Schizosaccharomyces pombe: one gene and its partner. Each later gene encodes a partner of the first gene's protein in a complex. Each region holds a gene or a part of one and is shown in the gene's direction. Other genes may lie near its edges.

Region 1 (3,756 bases):
TAGAGCGGTTGTTATTACTCAAATTTATTATGGTGGGACCAACAGATTAATCAAATGGGAGGCTGTACAGAAATGCTTTCCTAACCGGGACATATATGCTCTTACTAGAAGATATTTATCCATTAGACAACATACAAAATTTAAAGGCTTGCAACAGTTTTTATCAGAAAATTGGCAGCAAATGTACAAAGATGCTGTCTCAAGAAAAGATTTAATGCCATATCCTGATTCTGTTGATGATTTTGATCCTACCCCATATGTTAAGGCGTCTTGTAGACCTTATATGATTAGTTCTTCAAATCTTGCTACTACTAGGTTACCGAGAGACCTCGTTGACGTTTATGAAACTTACAATATAGAGGTTGTTAAACAAGAAACTAATTTCCGGGAAATGATATTTGATCCTTCCCTGTCAGTTGCCTCGAAAATGAATGCGTATTGTGATATGCCTTTTACCATGCCGCTTTCCTTAAATGACAAACAAAATAATGAAGGGGATGAGAATTGTGAGAAAGGTCAGTTGTTTGATGCGAAGTCTACTATCAAGAGCATCGTTGCCATCCCAGACGCTACATATGATGCTCGGTTTTCGCAAGAACGTCTTATGCAGTATCCAGAAGATATTCTCATCGCTGCTCATCAAGAATTATTGGATAAGAGAATAATTACTAGAGTTAATTCAGAAAACAGTAGATTGCAGCCTGGTCGAAACTTCCAGTTTACGGAGAAATTTGCAAGTTCCCTCAAGTCTCCTTTACCTCCATTTTTATTGTCACAAGCCAAGCGATTTAATAAATTTTTATTGGAGGGTTTTCAAAATCATAAGAATCATTTATTTGAAGAAACATCTAACAGTGGAACTCTCGCATGTATCCTTGATTTATTATCTCAAGGAAAGTTGCAAATATCTATAGTCGGAAGCAAGTTTAATGAGTATGGTCTATCTGAAGGCTATCGTACTCGTTTGCTAGAACATGACAATATCAATGTAACTCTTGTTCTCAGCGGCAAAGAAAGTGAATCTAAAAAAAATTATGGTGTTACTGAAAAGTTGGCAACTCCACCTTCGCATGAGCCACGGCTATGGTTAAATGGTAAATGCGAGCTTATTGAGATGATATGGATGAATATCGAGCAGTCCATTGTATACCAACTGCTTCGAAAACCCGGAATCTTGAGATCCCAACTGACTAACTTACTATTTCCCGGATTAGAACCCCGTGAGTTTAACGAAGTACTTGATTACTTTATAGCAGCAGGTGCCGCTATTGAAAAGGATGGCTTATATCTAAACCATAATTATCTCTTTAAATTAACTTAGCCTTTTAAATGTCACCATGATGAGATGATGCAAGCTGAGTATTTTCTTTCAATAGGCTTGTCGATTTGGAACATTTATATTACAAGCAACGATTTAATGTTTATTTGTACAGTATTTAGGATTCATTTTTAAATTATCTAAAAGATACCACGCTGTGTCTGCTTCTAATCTATAATTAATTATATTAGCGTGTTTTGAATTAATCTGATTTCGCGTTTTCTTCCATCTAAACTTTATATCGTATAAAAATCAAAAAGGTTTCATCGACTGTTTTGCTGAAAAGGTGAAGAAAACTTGAATCGAGGTTATCTCTTTTCTTTCTGTTTTATGTACATAACTTTAGCTCCTATAGAAAAAAGAAAAAACCTGCATCATGTAGATTTGTTTAACTAATTTACGTATGCATATATATATATATATATATATATTAGTAGAGTAAGGTTGATTTTCTAACCATACTTTATTTACGGTAGCATCATTCGTACCTTTTCGTACGTTACGACCACGTTGAAAGTTTTCAAAGAAATTACTTTTTAAACACAAAAGAACATAAATAAAAGAGAAGTAAATATGTCAGACAGTCCAATTGAACTTATGCGGTCCACGCTTGCTGGTTTTCAAATTGCACCAGATGTGAAAACCATCTCAAACATTCAAGACATTCGCGCACAGATACAGAGCTTCAGAGAAAAAGAATTGGAAGGATCTCAAACCAAATTTAAAGGTTAGTTTTAATCTAGAAATAAACGACCATGCATTAACTGTGAATAGTGCTTTCAAGAAAATTAGAAATATCTACCCAGGCTATGGAGTCATTAAAACAAACAGCAGAGTCATCACAACACGCTGAGGAGATTTTAAGCAGGGAAAAGGAGAAATTTAGGATAGCCAAGTTGTTGAATATCACTGAGAACGAAATTATGAGTTTAGAATCTCAATTGCAGAAAATGAAGGAACAGCTACTACAACTTGAGGAACGCGAAAATACTTCTGAAGACATATGTCAGTCAGAGGAAAATGCGAATATGTTAAAGCTGAACTTTTATCATTCTTTAGGCTTCGATTTAGAAACTGCTGAGAACACTGGGAATAAAAGGGTTATAATACGTATGTCATTTGCTCATAATTTGAATTTACCTTTCAATTTTTTATCTTTAAAAAGCTTGATGATATGAAAAATTCAAGCTTTAAAATTGAACTTTAAAACTGTTTTTCGAATCTACTCACACTTTCCTAGATACCGAAAACGATTTGCAAACGGTACAAATCAGCAACAAGTATAGCCCATATTTTTATTCTAATTATTTTTGGGATTTGCTTGATGATAGTAAGGACAAAAAATAGATGGCACTATTATTTTATTTATTTATTTAATCTTGATTGTGTATACCGGTTTTTAAACATGACTCAACATAACGAATGGCCGCTATAAGAGAATCCAATTTGATATTATACAATTTGGCTACCATGATAGTAACCCGATGAGCTGTATTTTCTGTATTAGGTGAAAAAGGAAGCATTGATATATAAGCATCCTTTCGTCGTGAAAAGTCCATTTTATCAGACTCTTTAATGCCTACAGGTTTGAACACTTGTTCTAACTTTACATCTTCAGCAATGACGGATTCGTCGGTGAGTATATCTGTAGGTTGATTTTCTTGTAAATGGCTGTCTTTCGAAAGAATCGGAAATACGTTAAGAATTCCTTCTGGAATATTATTTGGGTTGTTTTCTTCGACAAACTCTTTTTCATACCATTGAAAATATTTATCCATTTCAGAGTTATTGAGCGTCAAAATGGATTGCTCGTCTATCTCGTAGAACTTGTCTTTTTCTTTCTCATTAATTTTTTGCACTTGGGATAACCACATGTTCCAGTTGGTTTTAACAGTGAACATCGAGTCTTTGTATTTGGAATTTCGAGTTTGGGCATCATCAAACCCATAACATACATTTGCTGCTACTAAGATGGTAGCGAGTAACATAACCTCCGCATCAGATAACTTTTCATGTATCGATTGAGCACTGCGTATTTTGCTTTGATAATTATCGCTAGAGGTACCTTGAAGTGAAATCTGCGAGTGAACGAGATTTAGTAAACGAGAAGCAGGTATGAAGATTTCTAAGGGAAAAAAGAAACTGTTAATAAGCTCAAAAAGTATCAATGGCTCATTAGGTGGAGGAACTTTTAGTTCGTATTTAGATACTAAAACGTCAACCAATGTCAAGACAGCGGATTGTATGCGTTGATACGTTGGATAATGAAAAGGAATTAGCATCCTTACATAGTTTTTTTGAAGCCTTTTAAATATTTTTAGAGGTATCTGTTTATACGCTCTATAATATGGAATAATATTTTTCCTTATTAAAACTTCGAGTTTATGAATGGTCAGAGGCAGTCTTAGTAAAAGACAGGCGACATAAATAAAGGCAGA
Region 2 (3,756 bases), 1.6 Mb from region 1:
CCGTTGACTAATTATCTAATTTTATTTATTTGCTAATTGTAACGAGTTCAAAAATTCTATTGTTCTATACAAAATTTGTAATTAATATGAATGTAAACTAAATTCACGCAATCATTAATTGTTAATTTGGAAGCTTGATATTATTACGATTCGCATTTTACATAGCTGCTGTCACTATTTTTAAGAAAAGAATCGGATTTTTTTAACAATTCATTGTTTAGCGCTATTATATTACAACACTTCTTTTTTTTTTTTTTTGTTATAGTAAACCGCTAATGCAAACTACATAGGACTATTAGCTCCAATCGTTCACCATATTGAATGGAAGAGTAAAGATAATCTTATTGATGAACATCCCTATTTTGTAACAAGACAAAAGCAAGCTTTAAGCAATTCGGGATAGTAAGTTCAACTTTCTAAATCGTAATTCACATACGTACTTAAAACAACAGTAAAAGATAACGAAATGTGCTTTGTTGGGATAAAATATGTTCATCAATGTACATTTGTATATATGCGATAATGAAATTGATTTGCTGCGACTTAATACGACCAGTGTTGGTACGTCAAGTATCAAGTGATCGCACGCATCGTGAAAACTTCAGTAGTAAAAAATCATCAGTATACTTTATATCAATTTTTTTTTTATAAAAAAAAAAAGGCGCATGATGAGGTGGATGGGAAGATTCCCATTTTACACTGAAAACTACACTTAATGATCCAAGGACAAAAAACTTTATACACAAAAAGCCACAAACTATCTGTCTTCGGCCCATTCCTGCAAGCGGTTAGAATTAAGTTAATAAAGTACCAAGGAACGTACATTTTCTTTACGGATTTGCTCTTCCTCCTCAGGCGTAAAATCATTAGGGATGTTAAATGTTTTCCGAATGTCCTCAGGACTCTTGCCACGAATCATGTTGGCAACGGTTTTACAACCAGTATCAAGCAAAGGTTTAATATCCAAATAATTGCTTGCCAAAACTATCTCGAACAACATTTCCTGGTCTACGGCCATAAACTTACGATCCCATTCATCAATATCGGTAGACTTTTTTAATCTAATGTCACTTTCCTCCTCAGTTCCTGAATACAAATCGTTTTTGTGATGCTCACACCATTCGAGTACCTTTCGCAAAACGTTCGATGATACGTTTGGAAGAGGAATGGGGACATTAATCTCACCAACGTCTATTGAAATTGAGATTTTAGTAACAGGGTCCATAATAATTATTGCACTCAACAAGCGCTTGTATAGATCATACCTTCAAGCATATTTTTTATAAGCATACTTCTCTCAGCGATCAGTTGATCTATAAACAGTTTGTCAATTCACTCAATTCAAAACATTCTCCGTTCTACATACCGACCACGAACTCTTCATTGTCAGATGAAATCAGTTTGATTTTGGACATTGTTGATGTATGTAAGTAATGGATGAATGAAAGTTAAGCTGTTAGCATTTCTAGTTATGCTGATATTCCTACAGTGGCAGAACTCACTAATTCGATATTGGGAAAAGGTGCTAACCCTCATTAAATCAAATTGCATAGCAGAACGATCCCACCGTGATAGCTAAAAAAGGCTACTGAAGAATAATAAAAGAAAGCATAGAAATTGAGGTTTAAGATGAGTCCGTACTATTAATGTATAATTCGAATATAGTTAATATTAGTGTATTCCTCCACTAGAGCTTAGTTGAGGATATAGAAACTCTAGTAATGATTTACCAAGCACAAATCAAAAGCCACACTTCTAAGCAACTAACAAAATAAACCGACTAAACTGTTAATCGCCTGAGTTATATGTTCCTCACAGCAATAAAAACAGCAACAAATCTATGTATTATTCATACTTTTTGATGGGATATACGGAAATCCCTTTTACCTCGTTATTATCATATCTGAGTACACCAGACAAAATGCAACATGGGGTTGGTACATTGCAGAACAACTTGCCGTTTAAAAATCATAACTCACTAGTTTCCTCTTTGGAAGCTAATCAGTGTTTTCAATGTAAAGGAATTAATTAAAAAATGTTAGTGGAGTTACTAGAATTCACTCCTCTCTCCTTCATTGATGATGTGATCAACATTACGAACCAACTGTTATATAAAGGTGTAAATGGTGTGGATAAAGCCTTTTCACAAACGCGGTTTGCTAAAAAAGCGCCACAGGAAATAGAAGAAGGACTACACAAGTTCGAGGTTCTCTTTGAAAGTGTGGTGGATCGTTACTATGATGGTTTCGAGGTGTATACACTTCGAAACATTTTTAGTTATCCACCAGAGCTAAAAGGCTACATGCGTACGTTTGGAAAGGATGTAGACTATTCAATCACAACAGAGCAAGACGCCGCCATGGATCAAGCAATTCAAGAGGCTGCAGAAAAACTCGTAGTAAAGATGCAACTACGTCGTGACCTTCGCATGCGTCTCAGCAGGAAAAGAGAAAAAAAAACAGAAATAGAAAAGCATTTGGAAAGAATTTCTTTTCTCAACAAAGTACCCGAAAATTGGCAAGTTACTTTACCAGAAACTACCGATTTCCTTCTTGATCAACTTGGTAATCTGCAGCATGCCGTTAAAAGAGTAGTTGAAGCCTCTCCCACTGTACACTCACGAGAGGTGGATGAAAGAATTACCTACTTAGAAAAAGGTTACGAACGATTATCTAATCCCATCGACCAGCAAAAGGATTTTTGGTCACATCACTTGTCAAAACTAGAATCGACAGCCAATACTGAAACTGCAAATAACATTCATAAGTTGCTATTGTCATCTGAAAAAGACGTCGGACATACTGACGAGCCTTAATACTAATCAACTAGCTAAAGTCTTGAGATGTTCTAACAATTGTGATCGTTTACGTAAACTTTCATAATAAATATATAAGAATTGGCGTTGGATCTCTAGCGAAAGCAAAGTAATGCTTAATAAAGAAAACTTGGATTGTCTCTGTCACTTTTTCCGTTACATTTTTATTTGTTTTGTTTAACTTCTCTTTTTTCCTAAATAACTGAATGGATAATAATTATTCTGACCCATTAACTCCAAATCTGTCAAACAATTCGACACTTGTACATTTTTCATGCTCTGCCACTTTGCCAATCATTCCCAAAGCAATATCCCGTATTTCATTATAGGTATGGAGTAGATCGATATGTTTTTGTACAGTTTGCTTAGCATCTCGATTTCTAAATCATTTGTCAACATTAGATAAAACGAGACAAGCTTGATGATGACTTGAATAGATTTGATGGAACGGCAATACATTGCTTTTCCCAAAATGAACCTGAACGCGCGTAAAGGCGCATAACTCATATTTTCTACCATTTCTAGCATCACTTTACCACACTTACTTTAGCTTAGCTAAAGCGTCTTGTAAACTACTTTCCAATTGCTCCTTCTGCTGTTCAAGCAAATGGACGCGTGACTCAAGTTGAGACTGCAGTAATTCATCAGTATTTTGTGAATGAACAATGGTACCGTTGGCTTACCTTTTCCATACGATTTAAACAGTTCTTTCTTAATGAAGCAATGATGTGTGAAATTTACTAGGAAGGTATCTGTTTTTGAACACCTAGTAGAAATTAAGTTGTTGAGGAAGGCAGGAGCCTACCGATTTGTTCAATTGAAAACAATGTCTATTGTTCTTGTAAGAGAGAATTTAGATTAGTGATGAAAGACAAGTAAATTGTTGAATCACGAACAATGGCTTATTTCAATATAATGAACTTCGCTAATTTGTATAAGAA

What was found. Proteins that work in one complex are often made in the same cells at the same time.
Region 2: spc24 (region 1) and mis12 share a complex: the UniProt entries of both Schizosaccharomyces pombe proteins name them as parts of the NMS super complex.

Annotation. Positions count from the first base shown.
Region 1 is NC_003423.3:2,753,614-2,757,369, forward strand, and holds the start of spc24 (protein Spc24), read left to right. Parts: upstream 1-1,812; 5' UTR 1,813-1,891; coding exon 1,892-2,045; exon of another isoform or gene 2,046-2,092; coding exon 2,093-2,428; exon of another isoform or gene 2,429-2,558; coding exon 2,559-2,665; 3' UTR 2,666-2,691; coding exon of another isoform or gene 2,692-3,756. Other genes in the region: transcription factor TFIIIC subunit Sfc3, read left to right, coding at 1-1,321; RNA polymerase I general transcription initiation factor subunit Rrn7, read right to left, coding at 2,692-3,756. UniProt on the Schizosaccharomyces pombe protein: Acts as a component of the NMS (Ndc80-MIND-Spc7) super complex which has a role in kinetochore function during late meiotic prophase and throughout the mitotic cell cycle.
Region 2 is NC_003423.3:1,137,807-1,141,562, reverse strand, and holds the start of mis12 (MIS12/MIND complex Mis12), read left to right. Parts: upstream 1-1,944; 5' UTR 1,945-2,035; coding exon 2,036-2,815; 3' UTR 2,816-3,032; coding exon of another isoform or gene 3,033-3,195; 3' UTR 3,196-3,360; coding exon of another isoform or gene 3,361-3,446; 3' UTR 3,447-3,498; coding exon of another isoform or gene 3,499-3,507; 3' UTR 3,508-3,756. Other genes in the region: SCF ubiquitin ligase complex subunit Skp1, read right to left, coding at 758-778, 824-1,191, 1,266-1,313, 1,367-1,415; protein Swi5, read right to left, coding at 3,033-3,195, 3,361-3,446, 3,499-3,507. UniProt on the Schizosaccharomyces pombe protein: Acts as a component of the NMS (Ndc80-MIND-Spc7) super complex which has a role in kinetochore function during late meiotic prophase and throughout the mitotic cell cycle.